Arabidopsis thaliana: one gene and its partners. The protein of the gene in region 1 interacts with the protein of each later gene in a pairwise test. Each region holds a gene or a part of one and is shown on either strand. Other genes may lie near its edges.

The links.
Region 2: the proteins of AT2G02060 (region 1) and GATA4 interact in a two-hybrid assay, tested with the Arabidopsis thaliana proteins (one large-scale study listed by BioGRID).
Region 3: the proteins of AT2G02060 (region 1) and AT4G16141 interact in a two-hybrid assay, tested with the Arabidopsis thaliana proteins (one large-scale study listed by BioGRID).
Region 4: the proteins of AT2G02060 (region 1) and HSFA9 interact in a two-hybrid assay, tested with the Arabidopsis thaliana proteins (one large-scale study listed by BioGRID).

The regions. Positions count from the first base shown.
Region 1 is NC_003071.7:492,882-498,320, forward strand, and holds AT2G02060 (Homeodomain-like superfamily protein), read left to right. Parts: upstream 1-1,863; 5' UTR 1,864-1,879; intron 1,880-2,499; exon of another isoform or gene 2,500-2,794; 5' UTR 2,795-2,809; coding exon 2,810-2,969; intron 2,970-3,163; exon of another isoform or gene 3,164-3,201; intron 3,202-3,387; coding exon 3,388-3,464; intron 3,465-3,570; coding exon 3,571-3,610; intron 3,611-3,883; coding exon 3,884-4,025; intron 4,026-4,150; coding exon 4,151-4,280; intron 4,281-4,506; coding exon 4,507-4,728; 3' UTR 4,729-4,897; downstream 4,898-5,439. Other genes in the region: AT2G02061 (Nucleotide-diphospho-sugar transferase family protein), read left to right, coding at 5,144-5,439.
Region 2 is NC_003074.8:22,370,984-22,375,064, forward strand, and holds GATA4 (GATA transcription factor 4), read left to right. Parts: upstream 1-2,029; 5' UTR 2,030-2,364; coding exon 2,365-2,574; intron 2,575-2,651; coding exon 2,652-3,164; 3' UTR 3,165-3,571; downstream 3,572-4,081. UniProt on the Arabidopsis thaliana protein: Transcriptional activator that specifically binds 5'-GATA-3' or 5'-GAT-3' motifs within gene promoters. May be involved in the regulation of some light-responsive genes.
Region 3 is NC_003075.7:9,131,000-9,134,775, reverse strand, and holds AT4G16141 (GATA type zinc finger transcription factor family protein), read left to right. Parts: upstream 1-1,614; 5' UTR 1,615-1,801; intron 1,802-1,882; coding exon 1,883-2,056; intron 2,057-2,484; coding exon 2,485-2,904; 3' UTR 2,905-3,244; downstream 3,245-3,776. Other genes in the region: IMPA-2 (importin alpha), read left to right, coding at 1-326.
Region 4 is NC_003076.8:21,942,104-21,946,156, reverse strand, and holds HSFA9 (heat shock transcription factor A9), read right to left. Parts: upstream 2,175-4,053; 5' UTR 2,140-2,174; coding exon 1,750-2,139; intron 1,671-1,749; coding exon 1,065-1,670; 3' UTR 733-1,064; exon of another isoform or gene 655-732; 3' UTR 506-654; downstream 1-505. Other genes in the region: HGO (homogentisate 1,2-dioxygenase), read right to left, coding at 47-237; AT5G54067 (B3 domain protein), read left to right, coding at 4,011-4,053.

The DNA of each region.
Region 1 (5,439 bases):
TCCCAAATCAAACTTTTAAACAACTCTCTTTCACTTTTGTTTAATGTTATTTTAGGTGTGAAAAGGCTAATTCTTCTCTGTTCTCTCTAGGTGTTTCATGGATTACACCTTTTATATTACTTTAACCATCTTAGAATTTGCCTTGTTCTTGCATGTGCTATGATTGAATTCAATCAATGGGTGATGAGAAAATTGACCCAATAGAATAATAAATTAACATTGATAATCGTCGAATGGTTCGGTGAGATTTGCACATCCAAATTTTCCACACACAAAAAAGAATGTTATGTTTTTTATAGTCCAAAATCCAGTTGGGTTACATTATCTTACATGTATGTACAAAGTTTTATAATATTAATAAAAAAACAAGCAAAGAGAATTATTGAATGTTTTGATTGTGGTAAAAGCCATGAATCATGGACCTCCACAGTCAATTACTCATTCAATTTCTCTTGGAGCTATTTGTCTCTGCCAGACTCATTTAATGTATTATTTTCATTTGCTTCCACTTTCTCTCATACATGTATTAGTACTAACCATTTTGATTTTTGAGACTTGAACTCTCGGTTAGACATTTTATCCATCCATGCAATTGTGTTTATCGATCAATGATCATCAGTAGGATAATAAAAGGCTTTATTAGTGAATATAGTAAAATTGTTTCACTGATAAAACCTTTTGGAATGTGTTTACTTGATTATTTTGATCAATGATCATAACCTAGGTAGCTTTTTGTATTATTCTTCTAGTCAATATATAGGTAATATAAGCAACTCGTGTGTCTTTGACAAGCTGGTGACTGAATATTATATTTTAATTACCGTCTAATCAAACACTAAACCATTTTTAAAATCGTTAAAGCGAATTTTGGCATATATGCAGAGAATTCCACGTTTTTATAATAATTTAGAGAATGTGCATAAATGAGAAGAAAATGCAAAGCACAATAGGCTACATTTTAAAGGTCAATGACCTCACTTTGTGTGTAGATTTTATTATTTGATTGTTTTTTTCGTTGGGTATAGAAATGTCTGATTTATGTGTGGAATAAAGACGACGACTTTGTTAAATTATAAATTATTAAATTTTGTTCTCTTAATTAATACTCAATCGGCTTTTTCTTATTTTTTTATTATTATGGCTGATACCACGTAAACCACGAGTAAGTATGTAGTACAAATCAATTACTTTCTAATACTACATAAAAATTATATACTAGTACTTAATTTCTTACAAGAAATACATACATCATTTAAAAACAGTATTTGATGTTAATATAAGTAGTTAATAGTAGAATAGCTGATAAAATAACGTGATTTATGTCCACAATTCGTTGATTAAAATATTGAATCCATGGTTGGAAAAAACTGGCGAAATCAGTAATTATTGTCGGCTACCATATAGGGACATGATGGTTTTGGTTCGTCTTCCATGTACACCAAATCAGCAATGAGAAAAAGAAAAATGGGGAAAATAAATAATTCTTGTTATAAATATTATCCTAAGATTTATTATCACTTATTATGGGAGTGAAAAAGAAAACAATAAGAAGGAAAATGAATGGGAAATGGGAGAAAATGTAAAGGAATTAGGGGAATGAAGTCAAAACGGTGGTCCAAAAGACATAACGAAGGACCATTGTAAAATTGTGTGATTTATTTGAAATCAGAAAGTTTAACACGAAACCCTAAAAAAACAAAACAAAAAACAAAAATAGGAATAATAATTATGCTATATGGTCAAAGCTAAGCAGTTGGGCTATTTTCATTTAAATTTATTCGTTTTGGTCTAAAACCTATCGTGAAAAAAGTGAGAAAGTAAAGTTTGAGGTACTGTGGAGGAAACTTCTTCATTTGGGTAAATCCCAAATCCCTATAAGGTAAATATTATGTGTTCTTACAAAATTTGGTTTTTCTATGACAAGTATATTCTTTTGACCAGCTAAGCTAACAAATGTATGTTCAATTGGTTATATATCGATCGGGGCAAGGGTAATACTCGAATCTATGTTCTTTTCATGCAAGTTATGTATGTAGCCTTGTGTAGTTCTCTGGTACGTTGATATGCAATGATTCTCTCGAAAACTATTTAAAAAAATTATTTAAGATAATAATGAATGGGGTCACGAGTCAAGACTAATGTAACCAAAGTCAAATGGATTTTCGTATGATTACTACTTTTGTAACCAAAGTCAAATGGATTTTCGTATGATTACTACAAGCTTGTAGGTCAAAAAACACATGTCACCTCTCTGTTTAGTATAATAAACCAATTTTATAACATCATTCTTTTTATTTGCTAGTTTAATCGTCTAAATAAGTGACCCAACCATAAACCATATCAGATTATGAAATTTTGACTTTACGATAGTTTACGTATCCTCAAATTCCTCACGTATATGTCATGAACAATTCTTAAACAACAAAATTATAACTCTCTTTTAATTAATGTAGTTTTTTCGTAAGAACTCAAATTGATATTTAACAAAAAAAATGAATGAAACATTTCTCAAGTTTTAATAATTATTTTTTGGAATTTTGCAAAACATATATAGAGAGATAATAATAAGTATGAATGAATCCAAAAAGAGACAAAAAGAATAGATGGAAAAAGAGACAGTCATCTTTAAGAAAGAAGCCAAAAACAAAAACTTGCTCTTTTAATCCCAACCCACACACCTCTCAAATCCTCCTCTCCTCGTTTCTCTTTCTCTCCTCTTCACAGAACCAAAACATATCAAACCTTTTTTTCTCTTGGGTTTAAGTAAAAATCGAATCTTTGTGTCGGTTTTTAGGGTTCTTGAAACGATATGGGTAAGTCTAGTGGTAGAAATGGTAACGGAAGCTTTAACGGCAATAAATTTCACGGAGTTAGACCTTACGTACGGTCTCCAGTTCCACGGCTTAGATGGACGCCGGATCTTCACCGTTGTTTCGTTCACGCCGTCGAGATTCTCGGTGGTCAACACCGTAAGTTTATTATACTTTTTTTCTCTTCAAATCTTTTGTGAAAAAAACCAAACTTTTGTGTGTTTGTTTGCTTCAAACATCCTAAAGTTACGATATAACTAGAAAAATTGGACTTTTCTCATTCTTTTGTCTCAATCATCGTAAAAAATCAGTTTTTGAATAAAATCTTCACACTTTTGTTACTTTGTTTCATTCTTATCTTCAAAGTTTGGATTTTTATGCTAAAAAAAAGGTTTGAAGTTTCCTTATTGTGTTGTTTATCTTCATCATCGTAATGAATCATCTTTGTCAAGTTACCGAGTCAAAACCTTCACGCTTTTGTTGTTTTGTTTCATTCATAAAGTTTGAGTTTTTGTTTTTTTTCATAAAGAATCATCATAGTCACCTTTTTGATATTTTGTTGGGTTTGATGAAACAGGAGCAACACCAAAACTTGTTCTTAAGATGATGGATGTGAAGGGACTTACCATTTCACATGTCAAAAGCCACCTTCAGGTAAATAGTAATTAATTTTACCAAAAACATCAATTTTGTTTTCTTCTTTATTCATATTTCATTCATAACACCTTGTTTTGATTGTTTTGAACATATATATAAACAGATGTATAGAGGAGGTTCAAAGCTCACTTTGGAGAAACCAGGTATTATTTTTTTCCTTATAATTATGAAATGAATCAATGATGATATTTGGAAAAAGAATGGGACCGTTGATTTTAATTTGAACTGTTAACATCAAACACATAATAATGGATGGAATTTAATTATTTTACTGTATCTGTTTGTAGTATGTACTATTGGTCTAGTGTCATGATTCATAAGACAAATGTCATAAATACATTTATATATTTTTCAAGAGTAATAGAACAGAAAATAAGAGAATATTCATTAACTAGTTTTTATTGTTTCTTACACAGAAGAAAGCTCATCATCTTCAATAAGAAGAAGACAAGACAGTGAAGAAGATTATTATCTTCATGACAACTTGTCTTTACACACAAGGAATGATTGTCTTTTGGGTTTTCACTCTTTTCCTCTTTCTTCACATTCTTCATTTAGGTATTTATTTTTATTTATAATTGTTTTCTGACAAAGTTTTTTAATTTTATTTCAGTAAAAAAAAAAAAAAAGTGTTTTGCTTTTTTGTTTGTCTGTATTTGAATTGTCCTTTTACTTTGGTGCAGAGGAGGAGGAGGAGGAAGAACAAAAGAGCAGCAGACTTCAGAGTCTGGTGGTTATGATGATGATGCTGACTTTCTTCACATCAAGAAGATGAACGATACGACGACGTTTTTGTCACATCATTTCCCCAAGGTATAAATAAATTTCTCTTTTGTCAACCGGTTTGGAAATTTAATGTTGCAAAACAAAATCAAGTCCGGTTATGAGTTCTAACCGGTCTGATTGAGACTGGTCAAATCCAAAGGGATTGAGTCCGGTTTAAGTACTACTTGTCATTGAATCTAATTAGTTTCATATAAATGGCATTTAACCGGTTTTAGTCCGGTTTGGTAACTAATTTTGTCTTTTGGTTCATTAGGGAACAGAGGAGTGGCGGGAACAAGAACACGAAGAAGAAGAAGAAGATTTGTCGTTGTCTCTGTCGTTAAATCATCATCATTGGAGAAGCAATGGATCATCGGTGGTGAGCGAAACGAGTGAAGCAGCAGTCTCGACTTGTTCAGCACCATTCGTATCCAAAGATTGCTTTGGTTCTTCAAAGATTGATCTTAATCTGTCAATTTCTCTCCTCGGTAGCTAAATAAGTTATGCAAGATTTAGGTTCAGAGAAACTATTCGGATGTGTTTTTGAAACTAGGATATTGAATGTTAGTAGAGAAACCTAGAAAATGAAGTTTAGATAAATTATCAACGCAGCGTTTTGATCGCCTTTGAACGGAAAATTAACAAACAGAGCCAAACGCAGTGTTTTGATCTTTGAAGGATAACCCCTAAACGCAGCGTTTCTATATCAAGATCCTACGGTTTAGAATGTTCATTGTTATTTTGGTCGGCAATCCTACGGTAGAAAAAATAATCTCGCAGATAAAACCCATTAAACGCTGCGTTTCATCGTTGGAGGGTAAACTCATTAAACGCCGCGTTTTACATTCAAAAAACTTGAAACTACCTTATAACCGCCCAGACGATGACCAACGTCGTCAACGTCGGCGAAGATGAATCTATCGAACCGTTTTGGCTCCAATTCCAAGACGGCGATACTCAACGATTCTTACTCCGACGAGAATCATTCTTCCTCCGCCGCCGCCGCCGTAACTTCCGTCGTAATCCCACCGTGCTCCGGCAATGTACTCCGAGCCGTTCTCTTGCTCTTCTTCATCTGCTTCTGCTTCTCCCTCTACAGAACTTCTGGTTATCTCCGAATCGTCTCTGACTCTTCCTCCACCCTCTCTCGCATTTTCCCCTCTGTCAACGATTCTTCTTCGTCTCCGTCTCCATCTCCGTCTCTGTC
Region 2 (4,081 bases), on another chromosome or scaffold:
TATTTACCTAAATTCTAATTCAATTGTACCTTGTAATTAGATGGTTAAGACATAAGAAATCAGATACATCTGCCCGAATTAGAGCCTTATGATGATTGGCGGTGCCACATAAAAATTGAACACAAGATAGTGATGCATATGAATGTTTATATTTTAGCCGAATATGAACACAATGTTCGCAACAATTGGTTCCCCATTCTTTATATCATATGCATGTGCCGTGCGTGTTTGTACATATATGAGTAGTTTCTGTATAGTTGAAAAACTGAATAAATTAATGAAGGAGCAATGCATGAAAGAGACATAAGAAGATAAATGATAGGGAAAAAATATGTATATATAAACCTAAAAAGAGGGCCATAGGAATTTATAGAACCAAAGTGCAATGCACTTCGGATCGTCGGTCGACTCATCTCCTTCATTGTCTCCATCCATTTTCCCATTCCCCACTACATTTTTATAGTTATCTCTTCAATGTTTAAAATAATATGTCAAAACAACTCTTTATCAAAACTAAATTTTCGTTACTTCTGGTAGTAAGGATATTTCTAAACGTTATCACATTAGTTATTAATCAAACCTGTGAAAGACATGCTAGGTTACTGAAGAATGATATTAGATACTTGTGTACACTCTATTCTACAACGATCGAAGCTAGTCCCACTTCTGTGTCTCTTTCTTTTTCTGTAAGTGTGATTGCAAAATGCGAAATATTCATGTAAGCACAAGAAACAAGATAGTTATACATTCGCATCACTTTGTATTAATAAATTGTTGAGCCAATTTTGTTCTCTATTTCCTTGTTTTGGTCATGTTGAAATTCAACTCTATGATTGATTACACATTCCGGAGAATATTATTTTATTTTCTTTGAACAAGAAAACATAAAAAAAAAAAAAAACTCAACGGGATACTAAATGATCCAACTCACAAATTTCAACAAAATTAAGAAAAAAAATCGGAAAACCTTTTTAGGAGATGGCAGAAGAATTTAATTAACAAAAGGGAGAGAGGCTTATTGAAAAAAATAAAATTAGTAACCTTGCATTTATTTAATTTCCCCTTCATTACTTGTTTAAATTAATAAAACTATAGACTATGATCTATAATGAGTTTATTGCAAATAAGGCATTTGTCTTAGATATATATTTTATTTTAGGCACTTTTGAAATGATCTTTAGATTTAGGCACTTCTTTCCTGGGGAAAGTCGTTTTTACCCTTACAGAGAGATGATGTTGTTCTTTCTTTGTTGATGAACTTTTACGTTTTACACTAGAAATCAAAAATACTTGCGACCAACACCAACAACTTTGGAGTCATTGATTACAGAGTGATGTCAGCGACGATTGGAAATTCAGACGACTAACAATCGGTCCTCATGAGATGTGAATGCGATCTAGATTTTTAACATCCCACATTTTGAGATCTGGAAAAAAAAAACAAGAAACAAAAAAGTCCCACGATTTAGTATTACGATTTGCACGTTTTTTTGTTCAGTGATTTTTGTGCAGGTTAAGGAATTCAAGAAGTGATTGATACTTTGTTGATTGCTCAATTGATGTTCATAATCATGTCTACAAGTACATTGATTTTTGTTCATGTTAATGGTGTTTGATGATAATGAGGATGGTTGTAGTGTTGTGTTATTGTGTGTATGTAAGAATTGCATACTCTATATTTGACGGTTTGGGTTTACAAGTCTAATTCTAGGGTATAGCGTTTACCATTGACGCCGTTCGTTACCCCTCGTTGTCAAAGCCGTGAACCACCACCAAATCTTTGTGCTATCGTCAAAGCTTCATGCCTACCGTCGAAGCTGCAAGTCCACTATCTAAGCCATATATCTTTGGATGTCAAAAGAAACTTAAAATTGAATCAGAGATGGGGATACAATTTTTAGAAGATAAACACATTCTTTTCACCTCATTCTCAACTCCAGTTCATAGTTTAAGGGCAAAAATGTCCGTAACAATAAAAATTGAAGTATTATATGCTTTTACTGTTTAGAGTGTCTGTTTTGAAAGAAATGTTTTCAAAATGCTTGTTTAGAATATAAGCTCGATCTATAATATATGCGTTTTTAAAAAAAGACTAGTATATGCATTATGTAATTCATGGTTAATTAATCCTCTGGTAAGTAAATTAAATAGCACATGCATGTTCAAAGAAAAATGTAGACAAATATATTAAAGTGGATAAATAAATAGAAAAAAAGGGAGTGGTCAGGTCAGTCTCGGTGCATGCTAACTCTATGCACGTTCTCATCTTCGTCTCTTTCCTCACTTACACTAATTCTCTCTCTCTATATTAAACCTCTGAACCAGTGACCACATACATACTCAGTAAGCGAGTCCGAGTCAACAATGGACGTCTACGGCATGTCTTCACCGGACTTGCTTCGTATCGACGACCTTCTCGATTTCTCCAACGACGAAATCTTCTCTTCCTCTTCCACCGTCACTTCCTCCGCCGCTTCCTCCGCCGCTTCTTCCGAAAACCCTTTCAGCTTTCCTTCTTCCACCTACACTTCTCCTACTCTCCTCACCGACTTCACTCACGATCTCTGCGTTCCCGTACGTTTTCAAATTTCAATTTACCCTAATTTTGATTTTGATTTTGAATTTCTAAGTTCTGATTTTGAGTTTTGCAGAGTGACGACGCAGCTCATCTCGAATGGTTATCGCGATTCGTTGACGATTCATTCTCCGATTTCCCAGCAAATCCTTTAACCATGACCGTTAGACCCGAGATTTCATTCACCGGAAAACCTAGAAGTCGCCGATCAAGAGCACCAGCACCTTCCGTAGCTGGAACTTGGGCTCCGATGTCTGAATCAGAGCTTTGTCACTCCGTCGCTAAACCTAAACCGAAGAAAGTCTACAACGCTGAATCGGTTACGGCGGATGGAGCGAGGCGGTGCACGCACTGTGCCTCGGAGAAAACGCCACAGTGGAGAACTGGACCGCTTGGACCTAAAACACTTTGTAACGCTTGTGGAGTTCGTTACAAATCAGGGAGGCTTGTACCGGAATACAGACCGGCGTCGAGTCCGACGTTTGTATTGACTCAGCATTCGAACTCTCATCGGAAAGTTATGGAGCTCCGGCGACAGAAGGAACAACAAGAATCTTGCGTTCGAATTCCGCCGTTTCAGCCGCAGTAAATTTGGGGGTTTTCTTTTCAAGGGTTTTTGTGATTTGGTGACGTGTCGTAATCTTAACGGTGATGATCACGTGACCGACGGGAGGGGTTAAGGACTTAATTATCAGTATTAGTTTAAAGTTTGCAAATCTCTGCTAATTAATTTGTTGGTAATTTCTATTGATTTTTTTCTTGCTTTTGTTTATTGGTCTCACGGCTCTCCTTAAAGTTATATCATTAAATGATTTCATTGGCGGCATTTAATTTTCCTCTTTTCAGATATAAAAGCTTCTCAACCACCATGGACTCTGCTTTTTGTGACTTATGATGTTATATCACACATGACAATGCTGGTTAATCTTCATACATACATCATACATGTTACATGCTTGAGAATTTGAGTTTTTGGCATTTCACGAGGCAATTCAGTTTACTACTTTCTTAAAAAATAGTAACCTAAGCCATACCAAACCTAACTCTCTCTGGTTTAGGCTATTCAAATCTAACAATTTTTCGCTTTATTCCATCTGAACCAAAAATTACCAATACTCTTATACAAAGTGCTTAAACCTCTTATAAATAAACTAAACTGGTTAGGCGGTAACACCGAAACAGAACAAACAAATGATCTGAAAATTGAACCATAATGTGGTGTATAGTGTCACCGTTATTCAAATCCAGAACCCCGACAGACCGAATCCTAATAGAAACCAAAGCAAGGTCTTAACATTAAGATATCGAACCAGAAATACCATACAAAACTAATCTAATTTGGTTAATTTTCCGCTTAAACTATCAACTAAACCAAGCCAAGAAAAAAGAGGATCAAATATATGTATAAAGAAAGACAAAAATTCAAATATCAAGAAACTGCAAAAATGTTGAGGTCAATTGAGACTACTCAAGAAAACAACAACAAAACTCAAAACATGAATGAAA
Region 3 (3,776 bases), on another chromosome or scaffold:
GCCCTGATCCAAGGATTATCACTGTGTGTCTGGAAGGATTGGAGAACATTTTGAAAGTTGGGGAAGCTGAAAAGGTCACAGGAAATACCGGGGATGTAAACTTTTATGCACAGCTGATCGATGATGCTGAGGGATTAGAAAAGATTGAGAATCTGCAGAGTCATGACAACAGCGAAATCTATGAGAAGGCAGTGAAGATTCTTGAAACGTACTGGTTGGAAGAGGAAGATGAAACTTTACCACCTGGTGATCCCTCTGCACAAGGCTTCCAGTTTGGAGGAGGTAATGATGCAGCCGTACCACCAGGTGGATTCAACTTCCAGTGAAGGTAAAAAAACCTCACTACTTGGGACTAATTTATCTAAGCATCTAAGGCTAGACTAGCAAACAGAGTAAATCTGCCTGTGTGTCTACCTTGTGTGAATCTGTGAGTCTGGTTTTGCTTCCACAGGAGCTGAACATGACGATTTGAAGAGTCGAAGGAGCTTAAAGAGTTTGGGGGCACTGGTTAAAAAGGGTATGATTAGAGAGTCTGGTCTTCTGTGTAAAAGTCAGATGGGGTGCCTTACTTAGTCTGGCCTGGTCCGGTCAGATCCAGTGGTTGGTGGGTTTGAGTCATGGAATAAGCTTGTTGGGGGGGAGTTGGGTAGGAGTCATCAAGGGATATTTATTTTTGGGAAAGGGTTTATAAGTTTTTAAAGTGTGATCTGATGAGAATGTGTCTCTCTGGGTTTTTGTTACATTTGTACTACACAACACTGCAAAGTCAAACATAAAAAAGTTGGTCAAACTTTATTTGGTCTTATTGGTGACATAAAAGCCCAATTGGTTCGTCTCTTTATTGTTTATAGTAAATGTTTTTTTTTATAATCTATTTTAGTGCGGTCCAAGTCATTTTGGGCTATTGTCTACATATGCACGCGTATCTAGTTTCAACATATTTCCATTAATCGATGTTATTAATGGTTATCGTCAACTTCAAGTAGGGAGGGTTTCAATAATAAAAAAATCCTATGTTTTGTTCAATCCCTGTCGTTTATAAGCGTAGGTATGCCTTGGACCCAAAAGAACTCAAATATTCATAAGTCGATTACACAAATTTAAATAAGATGAAATTGACCAAAAAGAGAGATGTTTTGTAATTTTCATACAAAAAAAGTTGCACTACACGAGCATGTCTTCGATATACCTAATATTATTACATAAATTTTTCGTATTTCATTGTGAAGAATTACACAAAATATCTAAAAGACTGGTAAAAAATGCATGCATATCTCTAAGCCCAATTAGGGAAATCTAACGTGGCAAACAACCACAACGAGTAAATCCAATGTATTTCGTGCGCCAGGTTTTGAATTAAAATTTCAAATTTGGTACCAAAGCAAGCAAGATACCAAAAAACCCCCTTCCACAAGATCTTTGTTACAAGTTGTTGTTGTAAAATGATTTTCCCTCTTCTTTTTTCAGTTTGTGGTTGTTTTATTTTTTGGCGGGTGGTTCTATAGTAATAAAACACCGCGCTCGAGGGTAAAAAAGTAATTAAGAAAGAGAAATCTAGGGTTTATTAGTCCCCGCCTCCTCCTTTATTATAAAAACCCTCTCCGTTTGTTTTATCCGTTATTCTTCTGCGGCGTCTCTCTCTCTTCCTTATCATCATCATCTTCACTCTAAACTTCACAGAGAGCCATTCAAGCAGAAGAAGAGCTCTTTGATCCTTCTCTGCCATTTCCGTTACTCTCCTTTCTTCTGTTTCAGAGTTTTCTATTCTTCTCAATCCTATCTCGCTTCGAAGTGGATCAATGTGAGTTTCCATGATCGTTTTTGATCCTTCTCTTACTTGTAGTTGATGATCACGTTTAATAATTGTCTTTTTCTTTTGTAGATGTCAATGACGGAAGAAACCAAGACGACGAAGCTCGAATCGGCGGGAGATTCGTCCGATGTAGACAACGGGAACTGTAGTAGCAGTGGAAGTGGAGGTGATACGAAGAAGACATGCGTTGATTGCGGAACAAGCAGGACTCCTCTTTGGCGTGGTGGACCTGCTGGCCCTAAAGTAAGGATCATGATCTCTCTCTACCATTTTCTTTTAAACCCTTAAAAATCCAAGCTTTAAGGTCTCATGTGTTAGATCTAGTCAAATAGGTACTTGAATCCACTTAAAATGTAGGTTGATCTTGTGTGCTTAGCTCTGTTGCTAGTGGGTTTTGTCTCATTGATGTGATCATGTGTATACATAGTCTAGGTATGCGAGGTTTGTGTCAATCTGTGGTTGATATTTAAATTTGTTATGTGATCTCTATGTTTTGTTTTGATTCTGTGTTTGAAGCCTTATTACTAATTGATCAGGTTAAGATTATTGTTACACTGTTTTTATGATGCCTTTTTTACTAAGAGATGGTTATGTCTCTTTAATTTTAGATCTGTTTGATGATTGTTCACTATTTGTTCTCTGGTCTGATCATGGATTGACTTTGTTTGCAGTCATTGTGCAATGCGTGTGGTATCAAGAGCAGAAAGAAGAGACAAGCAGCTCTTGGAATTAGACAAGATGATATTAAAATCAAGAGCAAAAGTAATAACAATCTTGGTCTTGAGAGCCGAAATGTCAAGACCGGAAAAGGCGAACCAGTTAATGTTAAGATTGCCAAATGTGAACCGGGAATTGTCAAGATTGCCAAAGGTGAACCAGGAAATGTCAAGAACAAAATCAAGAGAGATCCTGAGAATTCCAGTAGCAGCAATAATAACAAGAAGAACGTGAAAAGGGTTGGTAGATTTTTGGATTTTGGGTTTAAGGTACCGGCGATGAAGAGATCGGCTGTGGAGAAGAAGAGGCTATGGAGGAAACTTGGGGAAGAGGAACGAGCCGCAGTACTTCTCATGGCTCTTTCTTGTGGTTGAGATTTTGTCTCTTAACCCTTTTTTTTTGATGTGTCGTAATGGTTGAGTGAAAGAGATTAGGGAAAATAAGTTAGTGAGGAAATGATGAAGAGAGGATTATTAATCCTACTTATCATATATATTAGTTAATGTAATTTTAGAGGCAAGCTAATGTTATATGCCATCTACTAATTAATTATCGTATGAACTCTGGTTTAGTTGATTAATGATCATTTCTTTGAAGTTGAATGATTTGTAATATGTCTCTATTCTTAATTGTTCGCTTAAAGGTGGCTTAAAATGATCTTTTATTAGTTCCAAAATTGTGAATTTTAAGGATCTTTTTGTCACTACTACTCGCTAGTAACGATTTGTTTGAGTAAACTCTAATGGTCAATCAATTGATAAAGAGTCTTTTATTTTTAAAAACTATTATGAATTAGAAAGGAAACCTAATGTGAATTTTGAAAATTTTGCTCCAAAATAAAGTCCAGCTGTTCATATATTGGATATCTCGACCTCCACGCGATCTTGAAGCGCGTGATCTCAGAACGAGACAGCTATAAACAGCTCATGAGTTTTGGGCTTTTCGTTGATGATTATAATAAAAACAGATTTTTTTTATTACAAAAAAAAAAATAAGAGCCGGTGATGGAGACAATTGGGTCTCTCTTCTCATTTTATTGCGATTCTTTTTTTTCTTTTTTTTCACGTCCTTTTTTTTTACAACAAAAGGTTATAAAACATTTTTCTGGCTTCCAAAATTAAAAGATATTATTCTCTTTATATTTTTAGATATTTATTTATTTAATTGGTAAACTCTAAAACGATTATATATAAATTTCTCTAGCATGTCGTCCTGTCGTCTAAAATATGGAAGGATAATAAGAAAA
Region 4 (4,053 bases), on another chromosome or scaffold:
AATTCAACGAAATTATCCAAAACTTACAATTGAAATGATGATGTACCTTCTTTGATTGAGCTTGCGAGGAGAAGTGAAAGAAGTACCGGAGATCTGTTCGGCGTAAAGACCGTAAGGACAAAGAAGAGGACTGTTCTGATCTAACGGTAAAGCTCCGGCGATTGCTTCCGATGAGAAGTGGTTACCAAAACCTGATTGATACTTCAACTCTTCAAGCTCCTTCTTCTTCTCTTCCATGGCTTCTTCACATCAGAGAGAGGAGCTTGTTAAAGAGAGAGACGATGATCGATACATATATTTAATAACGTGGAGGAATGATGATGACGTGGCATACTGATCAAAGAGGAAGAAGAAATGACGTCTGAATTTAAAACTCTTTTTCCTAACAAAACCATAATCTCTAACTATTGGGCTTGAACATATATGGGTTTTGTATACAATTAGGCCCATAAGCTTATGATTTCTTTTTTCTTACGAATTTTGCGTCCCACATCGGTAAGCGAGTGAAGAAATAACTGCTTTATATATGGCTACAAAGCACCATTGGTCACGACCTTACTTGAACAGGATCTGTTCTATAGGCTCGTACCTCTGTTTCCTTGATTTCTCAAGAGACAGGCCCTTAACCCTGGTTGATGAACCATGACCGTGCGGCTAGAGCGTGATTGACGGCTACGATCGTCCTCGGACGCATCCGGTGCTGTAGAGGATCGTTACTCGGCTCGGTTCTACCTTGCCGGGGTGGTCGCACGGCGGTCTGACAGGTTCTTTTATTTTTTCACCCTCAAAACTTTGAATGAATTTCTTCTATTTTATGCTACAAGTCACTACTCGCTAGTTAAAAAATTATTAGTAATGGAAGGCGATGGCAACAGTTAACCAGAGCTACACTTTTTTACAAGTCCCTTTTCACTAGAGCTACACTTTTTTACAAGTCCTTGAGTCGCTTTTTACAAGTCCCTTTCGCTTATATACACATGAAACCATACAACAAAGCGCTACGGATTCGGATCTCAAGCCTTGGGATTTGGTACCTTCTCTATTGCTATGTTACCGGTTTTGCTCTACTCTATCTCTATCCTCCCATTTACATCCATTGAGCCACCGTCAACAAGTAGGTCCTCTGAGTTAAGCTGACATCTCGTATTCCCGCTTTGATTGTTCACCAAAATGTCAGGCTCGGGATTGTGTTCTGTTGCAGCCATGGCCATAAATTCTCTTTCTACATCTAACAAGTTCTTTTGAGTTTCTTGATCCTGAAGCAACTTGAGCTTCTTCACGAATTCAGCTGCTTCTAGCTCTCTCTGTATTTTCATCTTTCTCTTCTTCACCAGTCTCTCTACAAATCTTTGATCTTTAGCCAACTTTGCAAAGAAACTAAGCATATGCTGTTGTTCGGTATCAACTCCGTGGATCTTCTCCTGCACAGTGACCATCTGATGTTGAGATTCTTCTTGTTGTTGTTTCAGCTTCAACATCTCCAATCTCATTGGACTCTGTTCCTCCTTCAATGACTCAACCTCAGTCTCTGTCGTGGTGGTACTCGCTTCCTTGTTACAACATTTAGTGTTTTTGCTTCTCCTCTTGATGTTCTTAAGCAAATGTTTCTTCCCTCCTTGAAACCCTTCGTTAGCAAATTCCCACCTATCTGAATCGACCTTTTTAAAACCCTACAAAAAAACTCTAGTTTTTACAAAGCTTGTAAAGCAAGAAACATAGCTAAAGAGTAAAAACTTGTTCTGTGCTTACGTAAGAGTTAAGCTGACGAATAAAACTGGAGAAGTTCTTGTGCTTGAAGTATTTGGGAAGTAGATTCTCTGAGAACTCGTAAGAATCCCAAATGATAAAGCTTTTACGGGTCGGGCTCCATGATACAACCGGGTCTGTTACTTTGTCATCGACGATCTCAAACGTCTTTCTCAAGAACGGTGTTATTAAACCTATCTCGTGCAATTTCCAAAAACCAAGTGACAAGTTAACGGCGTCATCCTCCTCTTCCTTGATTAGTAAAACGACGTCGTCTGGCTTTGAAGATGAATCAGACGAGCCTCTTTCAACGGTGACGGTCTCCGTTGCCGTCTCTTGACAAAGCGAAGAGGAAGAAGATTCAATATCGACGACGTTTGGAATTGCCGTCATAGTAGCTTCCTACACCGTTTCTATTTCTTGTATTAACTTTTTGGTCGTTTATTGTAAGAAATACATCAGTGTTACTATCAAAAAGCTGCCACATTATAACCCATTTTTTTGGAATATAACAATTTATTAACACCTGTATATCTCCAGCTAGCCGTTGGATCTTTGTGGTCGGTCAAGATGAATCGGTCGTCCATTGAATTTGATTTCATGCATGAGGACAAGTGTCGCTTAGGGAAAGCATATACATCAGTTAAAATGCTACTATGCAAGTGCTTTTTTTTTAATAAAGAAGAGAGTTAAAAGATAATTTTGTTAGCTAGAGTTACAGGGCTGTGAGTCTGTGATCAGAGCTCTGTTATTCTTCTATATGATGATAAAATTCATATATTATTGTAGACGATGATAAAACTTATATTGAATTGAAATAGCAGCCATGCTTGTGAATATTAAAACTAGAAATTTTTACTGTAACGTCAATGTTATACGCACTAGAAAATCAAAATGCAATATAGAGTTTTAAGGAATATATAAAGAGACTTAATGGTCGATAAAGAGATCAAAAACAAACTTGTTATAGCGGTTGCATTGGTTGTGGCCGCAGGTGAAGAAGCGACGGTTACATAGGCGATAATGGATTAAACGACGAGCCTTGAGTGAATCCGGTGGGAAGATGAAAAAGGAAGAAACACCATGGCAGGTGAAATTCGACTATGCTCACATTGCAACCATTGCATCGGTCTAACTTCCTCTTTCATATACTCACATTTTTACGAGAATCAACCAAACAATCGTTGCGAGAGAAGCACTTGGATCCTACCTTCCATTGCACTTACTGTTTCCTTGTTTTAAGAGTGAAATGTTTGATTGTGATGGCTTTGGTTATCACAAGAAACAAACAATTGTATAGAGTAACTCAAGTTAATACTCATTACTGTTTATTACAATAGTTACATTTTAAAATTCGTCCGTTATGTCAACCTTTGAAACAAAACATGGAATAGAATTTATACCATGTTGACTGTTAACATTGTAGTAAATAAGATGTATTCAAAGTACTAAAAGAAGTAACAGTCTACTTTACTGACTAAACTTTACTAACTATATAACAGCAAAGTTTATAACTAATATAAAATGAAGCTTTTGGGCTACCTAACCGACATGCCACAACCAAATTTGTTGCTCTGCATGGGTCCTTTTGCAAGATTGGCACGACTCATAAAAATGCTCCCAAAAGTCCGTACTACAAAAAGTTTCGGAGGATTAAAACTATTCTAAATTTCTAATCTTATTCTAATTAAAATGCTCCCAAACGTACGTACCCTACAACAAGCTTAGCAACGACCTAAATTAAATTTCAGATTTTTTATACTTTTTGTTGAGTGAATATGATTACTTTGGGCTTGCAAAACACTTAAATATGTCAAATGGTCCGTTTATAGATTATTGAGCGTTTTCGTGTGGACAATTTCTTTTGTGGGCTGAAGTTGGGCGGTCCATAATGGATTACAACGATCCATTGGAGCCGGCTATGATACTATTGTAAATATTATATTGGTTCGGGGCAGCAATGTAATTGGTTGGAACGCTCAAAAAGAGATTGAGAATAGAAATGGAAATGATCTAAATCAATAATTTGCACAAAACTTTATTCTCAATTTACCAAGTGAAAGTTATCTAAATCTAATATTTTGCAAAAAGTTTACTTTCCAATTCCATATTAAGAGAAATCTAGATATTTAGACAATTTTCTAATTTGTTTCAAAAAGAGTTCTGATTTTTTCTCTTTTGTATTTTACCTTTTTTCTTAGGCTAAATCTCCTATATATATGTTTGAATAGAGAACGTAAGAAATATAAAAAAAATTAAGCAAGATGAATTACAACGATCCATTGGAACCGGCTATGATCATAACAA